Linked DNA regions of Caenorhabditis elegans. The protein of the gene in region 2 purifies or fractionates together with the protein of the main gene of each other region. This does not show direct contact. Each region holds a gene or a part of one and is shown on either strand. Other genes may lie near its edges. The genes, in order: C39F7.5 and T24E12.13.

Evidence for each region.
Region 1: the proteins of T24E12.13 (region 2) and C39F7.5 fractionate together in Caenorhabditis elegans (co-fractionation; one large-scale study listed by BioGRID). This does not show direct contact.

The regions. Positions count from the first base shown.
Region 1 is NC_003283.11:1,259,752-1,272,573, reverse strand, and holds C39F7.5 (BACK domain-containing protein), read right to left. Parts: upstream 7,802-12,822; 5' UTR 7,780-7,801; coding exon 7,739-7,779; intron 7,691-7,738; coding exon 7,597-7,690; intron 6,541-7,596; coding exon 6,006-6,540; intron 5,441-6,005; coding exon 5,066-5,440; intron 3,834-5,065; coding exon 3,260-3,833; intron 2,998-3,259; coding exon 2,763-2,997; intron 2,705-2,762; coding exon 2,570-2,704; 3' UTR 2,414-2,569; downstream 1-2,413. Other genes in the region: Y75B7B.1 (DNA-directed RNA polymerase III subunit RPC4), read right to left, coding at 1-76, 127-533, 1,251-1,509, 1,564-1,623; rab-1 (RAB family), read left to right, coding at 8,618-8,640, 8,696-8,816, 8,871-8,918, 8,972-9,067, 9,123-9,323, 9,372-9,500; C39F7.1 (uncharacterized protein), read right to left, coding at 9,987-10,217, 10,266-10,760, 12,005-12,109.
Region 2 is NC_003280.10:3,782,413-3,790,776, reverse strand, and holds T24E12.13 (Coiled-coil domain containing 112), read right to left. Parts: upstream 3,327-8,364; 5' UTR 3,317-3,326; coding exon 3,181-3,316; intron 3,123-3,180; coding exon 2,811-3,122; intron 2,642-2,810; coding exon 2,534-2,641; intron 2,474-2,533; coding exon 2,298-2,473; 3' UTR 2,241-2,297; downstream 1-2,240. Other genes in the region: T24E12.1 (HMG box domain-containing protein), read right to left, coding at 4,247-4,413, 4,460-4,573, 4,631-4,981, 5,024-5,113, 5,160-5,202; T24E12.2 (uncharacterized protein), read right to left, coding at 6,621-6,820, 6,864-6,977, 7,025-7,132, 7,181-7,360, 7,627-7,707, 7,755-7,827.

The DNA.
Region 1 (12,822 bases), on a different chromosome or scaffold from region 2:
TTTGAAGAGTGATCTTTTTGTCGTGATACAACTCCAAATGCTCACTTCCAACGGAGATTATTGGTGCTGTAGTCTTCTAAATCATATGGATTATTGAAAAAATATCATTTATTTACATGAGCTTACCAAATCTTCATCATTTGGCTCAGGATTCACAGCCCAAAATGGAACTCCATCTGCATTGAACACATTATATGGGGACATCATCAGAACATCAGCCAACTTTGGAAATTGGTCATAATCATCCATATTCAAGAAAACTGATACTTCTGATTTCTTCTTTGCTTCCTTCGGCTTTGTGTAGAAAGAAGATGCTTCATCCATTCCATTATCTTTCTGTACAGGACAGGGTTTCTTTGTTGGAAGTCTGTCCATCAATAGTTTTGATTTTTCATCGATTGGTGCAGTGATTGGAGTGGCATTCTTCTTTTCTAGCTTGAACTTTTCGACAACTCGCTTCATTTCAGTATCGTCAATACCTCTGCTGGTAACTTCAACGTTCAGATCTTGACCAATCGGAGTGGGAACTAGGCCTGGAAATATGCTCAATTTAGATTATACTATAAAGTTTTGTTAAAAATAAATTCATACAAATATTACTCTGATAATAAATGTTGCGCCCAAAAAAATTTTAGTTTTTAAACCAAAACTTTTATGTCGAATTCCTAACTTTTATAGAAGACGGGAATTACAGTACTCTTCATTCAAAATAAAATTTTCGTGGCGAGACCGTATACCCTTTTTAAGGCAGAATGGCAAAGTTTCGCAATGATATAATATTCTCATTCTTAGCGTCAAAGGGTGATCTACTACAAAGTTCTACAAAAGTAGCATTTTTTCTATAATATTATTTCATCGTGTTGTTGAAAAAGAAATGCATAAAAACTACTGGATTTTCGAAATATATTCGGATAACGTGAACTTTGCAGTTCGAATAAAACTGAGCACTAATGATAAAAAGGAGAGATTGCCACGTAAACCGCAAAATTACGAAATTTCGTAATTCTGCTCTAAAAATGGTATACATAGTTTTATCTTGAATGCAAAAAGTGTAATTCTCTTTAAAAAAAGTACTGTAATTTCCGTAATCTATAAAAGTTAAGAATAAGATAATGTGGCCTGTCGAAGTCCAACATCGAAGTTGCGGTTCAAAAGCGGAAAATCATCAGACAATGTATATTTTTTGGCGCAACATTCCCCATCAGAGTATTATTTGTATGAAAATATGGTGTATTCCGTAATAAAACTACCTTCTCTACGCCTGGATGATTTTCCGCGGGCCTTTTTCGACGGTTTTGCATCAGCTTCCTCGTTCACAGCATCTTCCTCTTGTTCTCGAAAATCTTCAGTTCTTGTATTTTCCGAAGTTTTCTTCTTTTTCTGCTGCTCCTGCTCTACTGTCAAGCCTCTTTCCTTCAGCGGTGTACTTGATTTACTCGGTATTTTACCAGAAGAGGTACGGTTTGACTTTGGACGGGGTTTGTTGCTTTTCGCCTCAGATTTTTTCTTCTAAAAAGGTAATGATTATTCTGTAAACAGACGAGAAAAAAAATGAAAACTCACTATTTTAATGTTCTTTTTTTGCGCTTTTCTTTTAAAGCCTCCTTTGGAAAACAGTCCCATATTCTTAGCAGCTAAGATGATGGAAAACTAAAATAGGAATAAATTTGAAAGTTAATTAAATGTGCAAGTTCGAACGTTTTCCAATAACCCACGTGGATACCGTGGTTTTTTTTTTGAAAATATAAGATAATTCACGTGAAATCTTTTTAGAGTCAGAGTCTTATGTTTTGTCACTATTTTTTGGATCTGTTGCTTTTTTGGACATGTGCCGGACAATTTTTTCAATTTTTCATTTTTTGCCGACTTTGGAATGTTTCATTTTTCGTGTTTTTTTTTCGCTTTTTTCCTTGTTTCTGGGCACAGGGTTCTGCTGTTTTCAGATTTTTTTGGGATTGTGTAATTTTTGCATTTTTCCAAGAATTTCTATATTTATTTTTTTTTAATTTCCGCCCAGCCTAAGCCTAAGACTAAGCCTAAGACTAAGACTAGACCTAAGCTTAATCCTAAGTCTAAACATAAGCATATGCCTGAGCCTACGCCTAGGACTACACCTACGCCTAAGCGTAAGCGTTAGACTAAACCTAAGCGAAAGCCTAGGCATAAGCCTAAGTCTAAGACTAAGCCTACGCATAAGTCTAATACTAAGCCTAAGCCTACGTCTAAGATTAACCTAAAAGCCTAAGCATAAGCCTAAGTCTAGGCCTAAGCCTATTTCAAAACCTACGCCTGAGCCTAAGCCTGGTCCTGAGCCTAAGCCTAGGCCGAAGTCTTAGTCTAAGCCTAAGCCTAAGCCCAAGACTGAGTCTAACCCTAAGTCTAAGCCTAAAACTAAGCCTGAAACTGGTTATAGCCAGCTGTGAAATTGTGTTCATAACATTCAAATAAATAAATAAAGAAGAATAAAATGGCTTTACGGGCATATTTATAAATCTGTTTGTACTATAGAATATCTTGACATCCGTAATTATGAAAAAAAACCCGTTTCCAATATGACGAGTAAAAAAAATTAGAAAATTTCCTTGCATCCTGGTGATAGCACATCGGGAGGCGTGCTTGGTTTATTGGAAGTGTCCTCCGGCAAAAGGTGGCAGGATATGCATTCCTCGGGAATGTCGAGCTCAATTAGTGTTCGCCGTATTATCTGTAAAATGTTGTTTTATTTGTTATGCTACATCAATTTTTTAAATAAATCTTCTCACCATTTCTAACGCCACTCTCCTATGATAATTCCGTAACAGACTTGTGAAATCAGGATCCTCCGTTCTATTCAAAACTAGAACCTTCACTTTGTTGAACAACTCGCCGCTTAATATATCCGGGTATAGATTTGTGAATTCCAATGAGCATGGTGCATTGGTGTCCGTAACGAGCAATTTCCCAAACCAGGAAGGATCTTTGATGTTTCGATGTTTCAGTAGAGCAGTGTGATAAGGTCTGAAAACTTACCATTAGTTGGGGCTCCAATGAGGTCGCCGCGCCGGCCTCACGGCGTCACTCAAGCCGCATGTAGCCGAATGTATAGAGCGGCGCGGAGCACCGAACGTGTCGGCCGCTTCAAATAACTACCTTTCGCAATTCATTGCACACGCGGAGCTGTTAGCCCTACTACTACTACTACTACTACTACTACTACTACTACTACTACTACTACTACTACTACTAGTAAAACAATTTTATTATTGAATTTATTACAAACCTGTAATATCTTGGTCCGGTACTTTCATCTTCTGGCTTCAGCCAATGAACATCTGGGTTAATCTCTGAAGTTGATGCACATACAACTAGATCCTGTCCCAACGGAGACTGCTCCAGGATCCCCTTGTTATAGGCATTTGTCAAGTCTTGATGGAATGGTGGTAGCGAATAGTCTTTCCTTATATTATCCGCTAGAGGTTTCAAAATCTCTTTAAGCTCGTCTCCAGACTTCTCAGACTTTTTCAGGCCTCGTCGACTTATAGAGTGGCATGTGTCTGCCACTAAGTTCGGCTCGCGGTCTTCCATTTTCTTTAGAAGAGCGTGTTCACCCCATCGACAGCAAGCGTCGAGAAGGTCCAGTTCGGTAGTTTGAAGGAACTGACTCTGTGTGATCTCTGTCATCTCATTGGAAGTGAGCTCGAAAAAACAGCTTGATGCGGCAATTTTCAGAAAATCACGCTCTATGAACCGAAATGCGTGAGTCGAGATGTACTTCGAGTTGTTAGCTCGGCCCCATTGAAGAATGCCAACCACATTGTCACATGAGAGATTCTTGACGACAACATCTTCGCAAGCTGTAATGTAATGAGTTAGCTAGCTGGGATACCAGAAAACCGGTTAATCGGGGGAACCCGATCGAGGAATTGACCACGCCCACACGTAATGCCATTACGGTTTGATCTACAAAAAATGCGGGTATTTTTTTCCCAAAAAAAGGTGACTTCAGCACGTTGTTAACCGTGCGAAATCAGTTGAGAACTCTGTGTCTCTTCTCCCGCATTTTTTGTAGATCTGCGTAGATCAAGCCGAAATAAGACACTCTGACACCACGTGCCGTTCGGCAGTTCTTTTGTAGACAAATTTGGCAAATTGCCAGTTTGCCGATTTGTCGAAAATTCTCAATTTCGGCAATTTGCTGTTTGCCGGTTTGCCGGAAATCATAGAACCGTGCGGAAATTCAATTTTGCAACCTCCGCACAGTTAATTTTTCTCTAAGTCTCCCAATCCCTAACATCGAGCAGCTTCTGTTTTTCGAGACCGTGCGGCAGTTGCAAATTTGAATTTCCGCAAGGTTTTGTGGGCCCCCCGATTGGGACCCCCAAAATTATCCCAAGCAAAAAACCGTGCCGTAGGACTGCAAAAATACGCTCCGCCTCTTTTTCTCTGCGACGCTACTTTTTTTTGCAAAATTCACGGCGCGGGTGGGCGGCGAACGAATAATTCCGGTAAATCAGCAAATTGCCGGAATTGCAATCTCCGGCAAATCGGCAAACCGGCAATTTGCCAGAATTTAAAATTTCCAGCAAATCTGGAAAATTCCGGTATTGAACATTTCGGCAAACCGGCAAATTGCAAATCCTACGAATGTTCCTACACATATTTTGGAAAGTAAGCAAGTTATATCAACTTATCTAAAGAAAACTATACATATTCCGAAAAAAGCAACTTGCCGAAACATTTCCGGCAAACCGGCAAATTGCAAACTGCCGGAATTGAAAATTTCTAGCAAATCGGCAAACCGGCAATTCGCCGAATTTGTCTACAAAAGAACTGCCAAACGGCACGTGGTGTCAAAGTGTCCCATTTTGGTTTGATCTATTTAGATCTACAAAAAATGCGGGAGAAGAGACGCAGAGTTCTCAACTGATTTTGCATGGTTAAGAACGTTCTGACGTCACATTTTTTGTGGAAAAAATTCCCGCATTTTTTGTAGATCAAACCGTAATGGTATTGTCTGGCACCACGTGAAACGGCGATTGCCGCCCATCCCTGATTCGCGGATCGATCGTTTAAGTAAAATAGATACCTTGAACCAACTGTTCGACTTCGAAAAACCGTGCAATCTCAATTAATTGCAGAGCTCTAGCCAGTTGTAAATCCGGAGTTCTACCACTATTCGTTATAGCTTTGGCTTGTGATAACGAAGATATAGAGTCTTCGGATTTTGGCGCCAAACTCCAATCCAGTCGATCAGTGTACAGAAATGAGACAAATATCGGAGCGAATGCTTGTGGGAATATTAGTTCAGAGAAGACAATTCGTTTGGGACGACTTGTCGAACTTCCTTCATTTTTCTCAGTCAACTTTCTCAGCAGTAACGATCGTATGATTTTACTTCGTGAAGCAGCGATTAGAGAAGAGCATCGAATTTTGAAGCTCTCGCTGTTTTCTTCGGTGTTTTCTGAAATAATTGCATTTAGATTTTTTGTAAAGTAATTAGCTTTTTTGTTCTTTTTTTTCGAACCTATTGCTTTTTTTGGCACTTTTTATCGAATTTTTTAATGGTATTTTGCCCGATCTTGGAATGTCTCATTTTTCAGATTTTTTTAAATTTTCCTGAGTTCTTGAATTTTCTGAGTTTCTTTTTTCTTTTTTATTCCCAGCTTAACCCTGAGCCTAAGCCTAAAGCTAAGCCTAAGCCTACGCCTGTGCCTAACTCTAAGCCAAAGCCAAAGCCTGAGCCTGAGCCTGAGCCTAGTTGTAAGCATAAGCCTAAGCCCGGCCCTAGTCCTAAGCCTAAGCCTGGCCCTAGGCCTAAGCCTAAGCCTAAGTCTTTGAGTTCTGAGCCTTCTCCTTAGCATAAGCATACGCCTAAGTTTAAGCCTAAGCCTATACCTAAGCCTAAGCCTGAGCCTGGGCCTAATCCTAAGCCTAAGCCTAAACCTAAACATAGTCCCGTGCTTAAGCCTATTGATAAGCCTAAGCCTAAGCCCAAGGCTAAGAAACTAAAAAACTATTCTACTCACTTCCGTCGACAACTTCAATTATCAAGTCGCCATGCTTCAGATCCTGCTTGTACATATGCTTCACATCTTCTTCAAGTTTCTTAAAACATCCAAAATCTGTGCACAGTTGTTCGAGCATCTCACTTCCCAAGTTTTCCGGCCATTGTTCGTTATAAATGTACGATTTCAAGAATATCTCGACCGCGTCTTGTTCGAATTTCAAAAATTTTTGCTCGCACAAATCAAAGTTTTCCGGGTTCTCATCGTAGTTTGCCGAGATTTTGAGATTTGTACATCTTTGAGAAACGAATGCGCGGTTAGCGCGAATTGAGGTGAATTTGAATAAGATATTCAGATTTCCTGACACGGTTCTCCCGCTCTCGAAGTCTCTGAGGAAAGAATTTGTCGGTTTTCTTGAATTATCACATAGTCGCTGAAACTCGAGTAGCTTCGAATCGGCTTCAAATTCTGCTAGAAGAAGGTTGAGATCTTGAACTGGCCAACTTTTGATGAGTTCCTCGAACGGTCGGATTTGGTCTCGAGTGGAAGATTTTCTCTGCAAAAGATTTGTCGTTTATTATTTAATTTATTTATCCCGACGCCACGCGGTTCTGGCTTAACTTAAAAATTGAAATGGAAGAGTTTGCGCCGAACTAGGCCATTTTGGCTCGTCCATATCTTGGGTAGATTTACGGCGCGTTGCGTGTCGCGTCGCGGCTCGATTTTCGTTGTGTGGAGTACACAACACTTTTCCACGCGTTGTCCGGCGGACGATTGTCAATGGAGCGCAAAAAATTAAATGAGGAAAGCCAGTACTCCTGGTGACGCGGAAGTTGGACGGTCTCGACACGACAAATATTTTGCCAAATGCGATAATGTGTGCGCCTTTAACTAGTACTGTAACTTCAAACTATACATTATGGGAACGAAACAACATATTTGACGCGCAAAATATCTCGTAGCGAAAACTACAGTAATCCTTTAAATGACTACTCTAGCGCTTGTGTCGATTTACGGGATCTCGATTTTTGAAATGAATTTCGAAATTAAGCAAAAAATTGGAAAATAATTTCGCTGTCACTAGAAGAAATTAATTTCAAACATCGCTCCCGTAAATCGACACAAGTCATTACTGTAATTTTCGCTACGAGACCACGAAATTCTAAAAATGCGCATTACACAATATATATTTGACGCGCAAAATATCTCGTAGCGAAAACTACAGTTTTAAAAATTAAAAACGATTTTTTTTCAACTTCAATGATTTTTTTTTGTCATTTTTGTGTTTTTTTTTAATATTTTATCGATTAATTAATGATTTCTGTAAATCGACACCAGCGCTACACAATCCATTTAAAGAATTACTGTAGTTTTCGCTGCGAGATATTTTGCGCGTCAAATATGTTGCACAATACGCATTCTCATAATTTTGTGTTCCCGTAATATATAATTGATGGAAAAAAACGAAAGTTTGAAGTTTTTACAGTTGGATTTAAAGGCGCACGCACACACTTAATTTGCATTTAACAAAAGTTTGTCGTGTCGAGACCGGATATCGTATTTTCGGATTTTAAAATCCGTTTTTGATATTTTCAGAGTGCTTAAAACTTACTTTGAACGAAAACTTGAGTCGCGAAGTTGCTCTCAACACATTTCGAGCGCTCCGCAAACCGTTTCTCGGGGAGTTTTGACTGGTAGAAGTGAGACTAAAAGTTTAAAATTTCCATAAATTATTTTTATTTTTTACTACGCACCTTAATCTATCTTGTGCAACTTGTGAAGAATTCACTCCCATATGTAGCTTCTGTGGAAAAAATCTGCAAAATCAATAGATTAATCTGATTATTTCCTAGATTGGAAAGGATCTTCAAATAGTGAAGTTCTTTTTATGCTTTCAGATATTCAGAAAATTAGATAAAATTCGTATTATTTATATATTTATATTATATATTATTTATATATTTATAGGTATGTATTTTCGATCAAATAAATTCAATAAAAACATGTTTTTATTTCAATAATGCATGTGCGCCCCATCGCACGCGTTGCGCCGCAGCCGCTCCGCAGTCACGGGGTATTCATCTCTCTGCCTCGCCACGTCATTTCTCCCGATTCCACAGCTTTTCCTGGCTAATTTTATCCATTTTTCGACTTTTTAAAAGCTTCCAGACGTTCTTTATTGTGTTTCTGATGTTAATATCTGCCTATTGGCGTGATCAGAGTCGAAATTATGCCGAAAAAGTAATTTTTATCGATAAAAAAGTCTTGCGAAATATTTTCTAGCTTTGGAGTCTGTAAACTGATCCGGTGGAATTTTAGAATTTTTCCTTTCAGGAAAAATTCTTTTACTGATAAAAGAGTCAGGTTTTCTTGCACTGTTCGTCTGGATAAAACCGGTTTTCTCTCGTTGCTTTCTCTTTTGTTTACAAACCGCACCGCGATCAATAAATTATACACGTTGTCTCCTGTTGCTGACCGATTTGTCATATGATTTGTCACCGTTCTCATCTTTACTTTCGCAATCCTTTTTGACACTCATTTTCCTCATTCTCGCATCGATTCCTCATGCTTTATTCAATTCGCAATTTATAATTTTTCAGGGGGTTCCAATTTATCAGATCGACAAAAAGGAGATGGCAGCAATGAACCCTGAATAGTGAGTTTGCGGCAGAAGAATATTCGGTTTCTAACAATTTTTTTCCCAATTTCAGCGACTACCTCTTCAAACTCCTCCTCATCGGAGATTCTGGCGTCGGAAAATCGTGCCTGTTGCTGCGTTTCGCCGATGACACATACACTGAATCATACATCTCCACTATCGGAGTTGACTTTGTAAGTTTTCAGTATTTCCGTCGAAATTATTTATTATGATTTTGTAATTTTCAGAAAATCCGTACTATTGAGCTCGACGGCAAAACTATCAAGCTTCAAATCGTGAGTTTAACCAAATAAAATGGCGAATTCGTTTTAAAACAGTTATTTTTCAGTGGGACACTGCTGGTCAGGAACGTTTCCGCACAATTACATCGAGCTACTACCGCGGAGCTCACGGAATTATCGTTGTCTACGATATCACTGACCAAGTTAGTTTATTTTCCTAAAAAGCTTATAACAATAAATATTATGAGCATTTTTCAGGAGACATTCAACAACGTGAAGCAGTGGCTTCAGGAAATCGATAGGTACGCATGTGAGAACGTCAACAAGCTGTTGGTCGGAAACAAATGCGATTTGACAGCGAAGAGAGCTGTGGAGACTCAAGCTGCCCAGGATTATGCTGGACAACTCGGAATCCCGTTCCTCGAGACATCCGCCAAGTCATCGACGAATGTTGAACAGGTTTGTTGGGCTAAAAATGATTTTTAAAAAAATAAAATCACATTTCAGGCCTTCCTTACCATGGCTTCGGAAATCAAATCACGTATGGGACCAGTTCAAGGAGCCGGAGGTGCTCCAGGTGTGCGTATCACGGGAAGTCAACCGGTTCAAGACAAGAAGAGCGGTGGATGTTGTTAATCGAAACGATAATCTCTGTGATACCCCCCTCTTCGGCACTCTTTCACCATCAAGCTCTTAGTCGTATTTTTTTGTTTCTTTCCACTGAAAATTTTCTAATGCAACCCCTCTTCCTATCACTCTAAATTTTATCTAATGTAATTTTTTTTTGATTTTCACTTCTTTTTCTTCTGCTGTCTTTTCTCTCCCCTTATAAAAAATTCCTTCACCCACCCCCAAATTCACGTCGTAACCTAAATTATTTTCTTTTTTGAATGTGTGTGTCTGTGTGAATGTACATCCCCACGATTTTACGCTTTTTCTCCGCGAAAATAGATAATTTGTGTTGTGAAAAAATATCCTTTCCCCCTATCCACCACCCAAATCACCCCCTTCAAAAAGAGTTTTATATATTTGCTTCCCTCTTTTTTTTGTCTAAGCCCTATCCATAAACTTAAATGTGAATTTTATTGTGCTTCTGTTTTAGTTTTTATTTATCAATTATCTTTAGGCGAACCATTCCCGGAAAAAGTCGAATTTCGATAACAAGTACAACAATTGGAGGATAATTAACGCGATGCCGACCCAGAACATATCGAATATCGGAATTCTACGTGGCACCTCTGGTTCGTCCGAGGATGTGGCGGTGGCGGCATTGGAAGAGAAGTCCTCCTCGAGACAGTCGATAACCATCGCGTCTTCATTCTCGATAACAATCCCGAGACGGCTAGCCAACTTCTGCAATGAAGCATGTATAAGTGTGGTGCAGTCAAAGATCCTTTATACCTTCAGCTCTCGAGCTCCAAGCACGGCGACTTCTCCTGCAGCATTCCAATGCAGCAGTGCCAACGCGTCTTCGGCACTCCCAATAAGTTCACCACTGCCAGATGGTGCACGATTCCACTGCAACAGTGGATCGATTACATTTTCGAAAAGTTCGTCGGAACTTCGTGGAGCTCCGATGTAGAACCACATGTTTCCGGATGCAAAGTCACAGTCCTCGACGGTGGCTCGGATCTCTTGACTTGTCCAGATCTTTGCATCCGTTGAAACGTAGATGCTGTTGTCGTTACCGGCACTCGTCGTCAGAATAGACGTGGCAGGTCTCGATGGATAATGGTCGAACGGTGTGGGATTCCACGAATTTCGAACAATTATGTAGGCCGGCCGGTCGGCGAGAAGAAGCTGAGCAGCCATCGGCAGAAATTCTGTTAGCCATTTTCGTGAGCCGGCAGTTGTTGGATTGACACACGCCTCCATGAGCCACATTGGAGACTGAAACTGAAACTTGTAATAAAAAAAATATTTTTGATCTAAAGTCGAGATTTTTTCTGGGAAAATCAGAAAATCTCGTTTTTTTTCCCCCGATTTTAGCTAAAATTTTAGGTGGTTGCCTTTCAAGTCCTATTATCCAATAGCGAAATGTTGTAATTTTCGACGCAAAAGTACGGTAACCGGTCTCGACACGATTTAAAAAAATTATATTTTATGAAACGATGCATGCGCCTTTAAAAAGTATAGCTATTTCGCAATCAGCTTCGGCTTCTTTAATTTTTTCTTGTTTCTTTTAAAAATTTAAAGTTTTTTTTGTGAAAATTGATAAAATTATAAAGTCATATACTATGGGAACACAAAATTTTGAGAAGTCTGCGTATTGCGTAACATATTTAAAGCTCAAAATATCTCGTGGCGAAAACTACAGTAATTCTTTAAATGGATACTGTAGCGCTGGTGTCGATTTACGGGCTCGTTTTTTTTTTTTTTTTAAATTAAATTTAATTAATACGAAAAAATGAACGAAAATAGAATCGAGCCCGTGAATCGACACCTGCGCTACAGTATCCATTTAAAGAATTACTGTAATTTTCGCTATGAGATATTTTGCGCGTCAAATATGTTGCGAAATACACATTTTCAGAAAAAATTGTATTCAAGTAATACAAAAAACATCTGAAAATAGGAAAAGTGCAAGATTTCGAGACTACTGTACTTTTTAAAGGCGCACACTTCTTTCTAAATTTTCGGTTTTTACCTTTTTGAGTCAAAAATCAAAAAAAAACGCATCTATAGATATATGTGTCGATTTACGCAGCTCGTGTACTCCTCGAGGAGAACATTTTCCAGGCTAATCCCGGGGTTCTGGTCTTCCTCATTGAATTTTTTGCGCTCCATTGAAAATCGCCAGACGGACAACGCGTGGGAAAGTCGTGTACTCCACACGGACAAATATATTTAGTCTTACAACTAAAATCGAGCCGCGACGCGACACGCAACGCGCCGTAAATCTACCCCAGATATGACCGAGCCAAAATGGCCTAGTTCGGCAAACTCTTCCATTTTTATGAAGGAAGCCAGAAATCCGTGCAAACGGAAACAAAAAATATTTAATTTTCTAATTTTTTTGGTTTGCTCCGGAAAACTTTAGAAATTAAACAAATTTGTGCACTCTTGCGGAATATCAATAGCTGGCCGAGTTTCCGATTTTTCTAGGCCCCGTCGCTTTTTTTGTGTGCCAAAATACTCACTTCTTCCCGTTTGTTCCGTGGATCAAAATTTCCATTTGTCTTCTTCTTTTTCTTCGTTAGCTTACTACCATCGTGGACTGTGTTAGAATAAGACAAAGTAGACATTGGGTAAGCCGACTGAAAATTAAAAAAAAATCAAAAATCGCCTTTGGGCTCGCCGAGCACACACGTTGTCATCGCACCGCTTTTTTGGGAGGACTTGGGGCGCAACGACGACGTGGCTGGTTTGGGAAAAAAGTAACGGGAAACGAAACGCAGGGACGAAAAGAGAAAAGAGGTCCAATTTGGTGGAAGAAACAGAAGAAAGCCGGAGGAAAAGCCGTTTTGCGAGAAACAACGGACGACCAAAATTGGCAAAAAGTTCTGAGAGTGTATCCGCAAAAGCTTTCTCTTCAAAATCTCACCACTTGGAAGTTTTGAGGAGCTCCGTTTTGAAACGAAACTGAAATACTGAGCGACATGCCCAATCGAGTTAAAAAACCAAAAATGGAGTTTAATAATTTCGCTACATCTGACTATGAGTTTAACATATTACGAAAACATGAAATTCTGAGAATGCGTATTGCACAACATATTTGACGCGCAAAATATCTCGTAGCGAAAACTACAGTAATCCTTTAAATGACTACGGTAGAGCTTGTGTCGATTTACGGGGGGTTTTTTTTTCAAAAATTACTTCGTAATATTTTCTCATTTTTTTGCTTTTAATATTGATATTATATCGGTAATTAATTTCAAAAATCGAGCCCGTAAATCGACACAAGCACAACAGTAGTCATTTAAAGAATTACTGTAGTTTTCGCTACGAGATATTTTGC
Region 2 (8,364 bases):
GGTGCTGGATAGCCAAGGTTATAGCCGGGATGCTGATTTTGATGGTTCATTTTTTTTGCAAGTTGGTGGTCAAGTGAGAAGGTTCTATAAAAAGTATGATTAACTTTTCAAAATGGAAGAGTTTTCAAAGAAAGGAAATATTGTTCTGATACAAAAGTAGCAGATATTTACTACTTTCAAGTCAGAACAAACCTTACCTAGTAACACTTGGAGACAGGTTCTGACTCAAAAATTATTCGCAATCCTTTATTATAGTTCTGACGTACTAAACGAACATTGAAGGTTGTTTTAGCAGTAAATAGTGGTGACAAGATCAGAAGAGATATGCCAAATCAGAGCACAAATTTAAAAAAAAAAGATCTGGGGTAGCGTAGAGTACCAGAAAACAATTTTATATGATCAAGTATATTTGCAAAGTTTAAAACAAACTAGAGTGTTTAATTTTGGAGAAAACGATTTTTTTGGAATTTGAAAATTTATTGACAGCTAAAATTGGAATATCAGTTATTCGAAACTTCAAATTTGTTCGAAAAAATTTGAAATGTTTTTTTTAAATAATAAATTTGAGTTAATGGAGGCTAGCTTTTTTTTATTTTAAATTGTTTCCCCCAAAGTATTTTTTGAATGTGCCCTTTTATTTCACCGGCAAGAAAAAAAAAGTAAAAAACAATTATATGGTCCCCAAGTTAAATAGAAATGTATCCAAATAATTCAGATTCAAAAAAGATCCAACGTCAAGACAAATAAATTCTAAAAATACATATTAAATCAGAATAAAAAGTAGACAAATTGTAGATGTTAGCAGTGGTAAACAACACAAAATGATCAGATCAAACGTGCATTTCGTATTTTTTTAAATAATTGTGACAGAGGGGAAGCTTATGACTACTACATAGCGTGAGTTATAATATAATGTATGGCAAAAAAACAGAAGAAATTGAAAGCTTTTAAATTTTTTAAAACTGTAATACTTCCAAATATTAAATGTTGAGAAGAATATCTATAAGAAACAAAAATAAATAAATAAAACGGCGCAGCTCTCATATTTTGAAACATTTTTATAAGCGTTCACATTGGTGGAAAAAAACGAATAAAAATGTGAATTTCCATATTTTTGAGGGAATTCGTAATTTTTGAATAGATAGTTCAAAGATTTTCTGTACAGAATCTCACGTAGGAAATAGAAACTGAAAATGAGCAGCAATTGTATAGAGTGTATAGAGATTAGAAAAAGCTTGAATTGTTTAAAAAATGATTAGAGCTACTTTTAATTTGTCTAAGTTAGGCCTATTTGAGATGCGTCCAAACTAGAGCCTCTTATCAATTTTACCACAATCTTATTAGCCTCCAAATCTTTCAAAATATTGCTTTTTGACCCCTCGGAAACAAAAAAGTACAGGGAAAAAAATCGAAGACAAAAATAAAAGCCGACACACACTTCCCACTATACAATCGAGAGCCAGCTAGCAACGAACATTTTATCGATGTCGCACAAATTTGCATGACACCACGTACTTTTTTTTCGCCGATTGAAAGAGTTTATGATTTTGATTGTCGAGCAGGTCATAAAATGTCATAGTATATCATTTGGCGACAAGGTATGTGATTAACTTTTGTGTAGATATGGGTGTATATAATAAAAATTAGCATTGATTTTGTGGAAAACAATAATTTTAGGGTTGAAAAATAACTTGCAAAAACCATTTTAATTTTAATTATTACATAAAAAACTGTGAGTAGAACATGTGTTTTTTTTTTCAATACAATATTTTTGCAAGTGAATTCCAATGTCTCGAAAAACTATTATTTAAATTTAAAAAATACTTGAATACTACTACAAAAAACTACAAACAATCCAAACATTTTCGTAAATCAAACTATCAGCTAACATAAACTTTGAGAGACAGGTCACTCGAATAAAAAAGTCACCCCGTTCCAAAAAGTATACATGCAATACGATACATCACTTTGTTGCACAATCTATGATGAGCAGAACTCTGTCTAACCTGTGAAAAGTAGCAATGTTGCGTAATAGGTCGATTTGGCCGACTGCCAAGTCATCCACTAGGTGTACGGTAGAAGCCACCTGCCTGTTGTATGTTTTTGTTCGGAACCCTCTTAGCCTTGGCGCTGGTATGTTTTGTTTTAAGAAACGAGGCCATGAGAAAAACTATGCTAGTTCAAAGTTTAAAACTTCTTATCAGTAAAAGACGCTCAACTGATAAGGTGATAGAGGTGGTGATAATTAAAATTTATTCATAACTAAAATTTAAAATATAACAAAAAAGGGCTTATGTTCAATACATCTCCATTATTTCCTGTTTAATTGAGACTTTTCCAACTTTTTTCGGTTTTGAATCCGGAAACCTGATGAGCCCAGCGTTTCGTTGCTTCACTTGCTCGTCTTTCAACACGATCCACATTTTCTGCCACACTTCCTTTGTTTTTTCCGGTAGAGATTTCCAGTGTGGATCTGAAATTTGGGGGTACTTGTTGGTTATAAGAATTGCCCTCCTTTTAAAAAAAAACTTACTTATTTTGCATGGCCGTTGATTACCATACAAGGAGCAGCAATTTGGAGCCCTCATCACAATTTGTTTGACTTGCCCAATGTCCTTATTGAACAGGTAACATGTCAGATCTGAAATTGGTTGGAAAATAATGACTCTGCCATTTCGAACATAAAAATTTTTTTTTTAAATACTTTGATTTCAACAAAAACTGTAAATTGACAAAATGCGTAAAATATTGTTTTCTAGAACTTTCTAGTTAAAATTTTTTTGATGCATGCAAAAATCTCTCCTACTTACCCGTCTCGGGCCACTCTGGATTCATAATTTCTATGTTGTGATTTTCCTCCCAATACATTAAGGCCTCCTCGTAATTTTTCAAGTAAGGAGAAACTTCCTCAATAAAATGTTCTTCTCCCTGAGTTTTCATCGGAGCAACTCCCGAGAAGCACGGCGAGATGGGGGAAATTGCGGCGAAGGAGCTTGTTTGAGCCACGGTAGGGATGCTCAAGCTGAGTTGGGCTTGGTTGGCTCTGAGAGCTTGAAGATCCTGTTCTTGGCTCTTGATTTTCATTTTTAATTCTATATTTTCATTTTGCAGGCGATGGGTGACTGGAAAAAGTAAAATTAAGAATAAGGCCCAGCTGAAACAAACAAATAAAAAACTAACAATGCTCATAATCGTAGATTACATTAAGCTGCTCTAGCACCTTATTGTAGAGCTCCTGGTTGAGAGCTTGAAGTTCAGTCAATTGGGAAGGTAAGTCTGATGGTTGATTGACTGAATAATTAGACATATCTGGCATGATCTGAAACAGAAATTGAAGGAAAAAACTTAAAATTATATAGGTTAAGAGTCACAGAAAAAATCAGAGTTGCAAAACAAATCATCAAAATGACACACGAGGCCCGACAAATATGGACCATATGAGCACACAGCCCGCCAAAAGACACATGCTGAGCAACAGAGTGTCTGCCGCAGAAATTGGGCGGGATTGACTAGAGAAGGGGTGCATCTGTTGATGTTTCTTGTCAAGAATGACCCAAACAGCCTAATAGGTTCATAAGATCGAAAATGTGGGAAAAGTTCAAATTTTGAAGAAGGCGGATGAGAGGCGTTTTCGTAACGCCTCTTTTTCAATCTGACCAGGTGGCATATCTTCATCTGAAAATAATCGATATTTATTGGATCTTCAGAGTTGTAAAATAGCTGTGATTTTATAGATGCCAACTTTCATTTAGTGGTAATTGTTGCTCCGGGGATCTCTCTAGCTACTTACTCATTGGCGGTGTTCCAAGTTAGGCTTAGTCTTTGTCTTAGTCATAGTCTTGAAATCGGACTTAGGCTAAGAGTTATGCTTATTTTCATTTGATCTAGTGTTATTCGATAGAAAACATAAAAATCCCATTACTCGCAATTTTTCAACCTCTATCTTCACACTTCATTTCCATTTAAAACGTCATTCCATTGCACTCTATCATTATCACTTTTCACATGACATTTTCTTTCACTCGTAAACGAGCAAATAATGAGGTGATTACAATATAGTTATGAGGTGATAAGGGCGTATGTGTGTGATAAGGGTAATGAATTCAATTTATTGATAACAAATATGAGATATGTAAATTAACCAATAAATGAAATATGAGGAACAGAAGGGAAATAGTCAAAAATAATCGAATATTGGAATTACTTGAGATCATATTATCAACTGATACATAAATAAAAATTGGGCTTATTCTTCATAATCTTCGGGCTCCTGTTTGATATTCACTTTTCCGATCAGGCCCTTGAAATGGATCAAGCCATTCTCGGCTTGCCTATTCTGCTCGGCTCTCACTTTCTTCCCCATTTCAGCCCAAATTTCCTTTTTCTTTTTACTCAATCTAAGCCAAGGTTCATCTGAAATTACTTCTCGTTTAATTCAATATGAACTAGATAAACTCACAGCGACCTTCTTCAGACTTTCTCTGATTCTGGTACAAACTGTATCCATTAGCGGGTCGCTTCTTGAACTGCGGTACGTGAGGGATTTCTGGGTCGAAGAGGCAGCAGCGCAGATCTGGAAATTTTTTATTTAGAATTTATAAAATCTACAAAGAAAAGGCAGCTTTCTCACCAGTCTCTGGATCATTTGGCAGCAAGATCGGCTCATTGTGATGCTCCTCCCAGAACTTCTTGGCGTCAGCGAAGGATCGGAAGCTTCTGCCGGCTTTCGGGACCAGAACGTCTTTCTCATATACAACGGCATCGAGGTCTTCTGGCTCCTCCGAGGACTTCTCCAGACACGTCGACGAGCTCGGTGAGCTGGATGAGATCCCAGATTCCGGAGAGTTCATGTTGACTTTTGACACGGGACTATTCGGCTGACGGAGAGCTTGCACCTCTGCCTTGAGCTGTTTGAGCTCCTGGGTTTGAGCTCGGACCGTTGCCTCCAAGGAGAAAATACGCCTGGCCTGAGTGTGCCTGCCTGAAAAATTTAAATGAAATTAGAGGAACCCGGAGCACTTACACTGCTCATAGTCTTGAATATTGATGAAGGCAGAGATCAGTTTGCTGTGGAGTTCGGAGTTGAGAGATTGGAGTGCGGCTCCATTGGAATCTGAAAATAAGGATTATAAAAAAAGAATAATAGTGCCAAAGGGTACCTGAAACTAAATCGGCAGAGGAAGTAGACGGAAACTGGGACATTTCCTTCAGCCTTTAAATCTGAAATTTAATTTTAAAAAAATCGGGAAAAGACACAGCTTTTTGTGCGCGTATATCTCCGTCACCACTGAAGTTATCAAAAAAGTGAAAACAACAAAACTGATTAAATTTTCCTGCTCCACAGTTTTGCAGTTAACAAAAATTTAAAATCGTTAATGATGACCGAGATATTCAGCAAAAACCAAAAAAAAAGGCCCACAAAAAACCCAAAAAAAAAATCGATTCCAAAAGAGCGGAAGAGGCCATCTCCACAGAGAAATAGAAGGGCAACACAAAGAACGTGGGAAATCGTGCATAGCCGGTGGTTGTAGAGCGGGAGAGACAACATTGGTACCTGGGGAAGAGGTCACTGGAGGTCAAAGGGTGACTAGTAAGAGACGGAAAACAGTAGGAGAAGGTGTAGGAAGATGGGGGAAATCTGCGAAACTTTTAACTAGCAACTGGAAATTTATACAAAATTCCAAGTTTTCAGACAATTTCAGACATTTTCTGAAATCTCAACGATCTTTTTCAGCACGGTTTTTAACTTTAATTTATGAAAATTGTCTTGAAGCTGATTGCACAAATTTTGAAAAAATCTGAAATGTAAAAAACCAAAGATAATTTGGTGGTCGATGTTTTTGGTTTTCTAGGCCATCTAATCTGCTGCTAGGGCTTGAGGAGGGCTAGTAAGGAGCCGCATTTTGCCTCGGCCGAGTAGAACACTGTGCTGCAGGAAATGAAAAAGTTCAAACAACGAAAAACTTATGCAACAATTTACAAGTTTCCAGTTATCCTCAATTTATATATTTTTAGCATAATTGTCACCTAGAGCTCCGTCATCATAAACCACACATTTTTGTCGCCGAAAAGTTTAAAAACCAAAAATAATAATAGCTCTTTCTCTCACAGATTAGTAGTGGATGTTTAAAAAATCTGAACTTACGAAAAATGCAAAATTCAAAATTATCGCTGTTTCCAGTTACCTATACTAATTAGTTTTTAGAGTTTAATTTTCCATTGTCATTTGGTTTGAAACAAGCATATTTATATTAATTCATACTTTTAGTATCAATTAAAAAATAATATAAATATTCTAGTCTTATACCGTCTGTCATAGGCTCCCCGCACACACCAGGGGCTCACCTTTTCCTTCTTCACTGCCGCACGCCAGCTGCCTCTCCTTGCGGTTATTCTTGAATAATTTTTATGAGGGCACTTAAATGATAGTTATAGATGCTCTCATTTTGATGGAGAACAAAGAACCAAACATTTTGAAAATAGGTGTTTAAAAGAGAAGTCTCAAAACCCTTGAAGCTGAAAAGTTTCAGACAATTTCTAACATTGGCCTAAATTTTGTTAATGAGCATGAGGAATATTTTTTTATTAGGTTAAAATTAAAAATTGAAAATATCGTTCAATTATTTATCATCTCTCTTCTCCTTCTTCCCATTTTGCTCCCTTGCTTTGTAATTTTTCCGTTTTCTAACGTTATTCTTCAACTTCCGCTCCAACACAATTAATCCCAGCTGGACCTGATGCGCCTGAATATCCTTCAACTGTCTCCAAACTTTCGCCCAGTCTTCTTTATCTTCCGAACGAATTTTTGGCCAAGGCAGGTCTGAAAGCCTATTCTCAAGCTTTTTATGAAGCCAAAAACTCACTGTAACTCTTAGTGGATCTCTGGTTTCCATACAAACTACTTTGATTCCTTACAAACATTTTGATCTGGGGGACTACTTTTTTGCCATTTGGGTCAAACAGGAACTCGGTCAGATCTAGAAAAAATGGGTTTCAAATTTATTTCACAGCTTGAACAACAAACCTAAAGCCCATTGGTAATCAACTCCTCTATGAAAATTCTCGAAGTTATGCTGCCAAATTTGAAGTGCATTTTCAAAAATTGGGTTGGGGCTTTCTTGAACGGGGACTCCTGAAAAGTGTATTTAAAAAAATATTTTAAAACTATTTTTCTACAAACCTTGCTGGACTCTAGCCAACTCCTGCTCTAGATTGGAGCATTTATTTAAGAAAATTTGGCAATCATTCGTTAGCTGGAGCACGTGGTCTCGCAAGTTTGAATTTTCGAGGCGGAGGGCTTTATTTGCGTGGGTGTTACTCTCACGAAGCCGGTTGATTTCAATGATGTTCATCGCATTTACTGAAAACAAAAAGTTAGTGAAAAATATGCCTACCTACGCCTACCGTGTGCCTTAGGCAGGAAAGTAGGTAGACATCAGGTAGGCATCGGTAGATAGCCTATGCAGAGCACATCAGGTAACTGCTTACATTGTTAACATCACTTTAATTGAAATGAAAAAAAAATATGCCAGAAATGTTAAATTTTAATCCAAAAATTCGAAAATCGCGGCCCCGACCAATCAGCAAATACCGAATTCTGCTGATTGGTCAAAAAGCTAAACTCACTTTCTTCTAAATCTGCACGCTGAATCTCACACTTTATATAACACTCCATCCAGTATTTGGTCGTTGTTTCATCTCCAGTATCTGAATTTATTTATTTTATCCAATTTAAAAAATTATAAAATCCTTACCTTTATCAAAAAATAATTGAGAAATCTGTAATTTATCTGCTGGAAATTGAGCTTGAGCCATCCGAATATGCATAATGAAAGGTGCATATTTCAAATCATTCACCGAAATTTGAGAAGTATAATGCGTTAATTAACTATACAATTTCTGGTTTTCCGGATTAGCAGCTTCACCTTGTTGACCGCCATGATACCCTCCTGCAACAGGTGCCAACAATTTTGGGATTAACTTTTGGGAGAACGGGAGGAAAATAGTCGGAGCAGGGGTGGACAGCGACCGATTTTTGGGAAAAGTTGGCAATATACCAAAACTTTGACTGAAATTTTTGAAAAACCTAACAAGTTTTAAATGTCAGTTCTGCCTTTAAGATGATGCTAGATATTTTAGTTTTGACCTACTTTTGAGCTCACAGATTTGGAGCACATTTTCAAGCTCCAGCCACCACATTACAATGACAGGTATCCAGTTACATGGTGCATCCTGTTTTGTTGCGCAACACGGGTACTGTATCAAAAGTGAGATGTCATGAGCAATTGATGTTGCGTCATAGTTGGAGCAAGTTTTATCGGTCTGAATAAAATTGGCAGGTAAAGGAATGTACTTTAAGCAAAT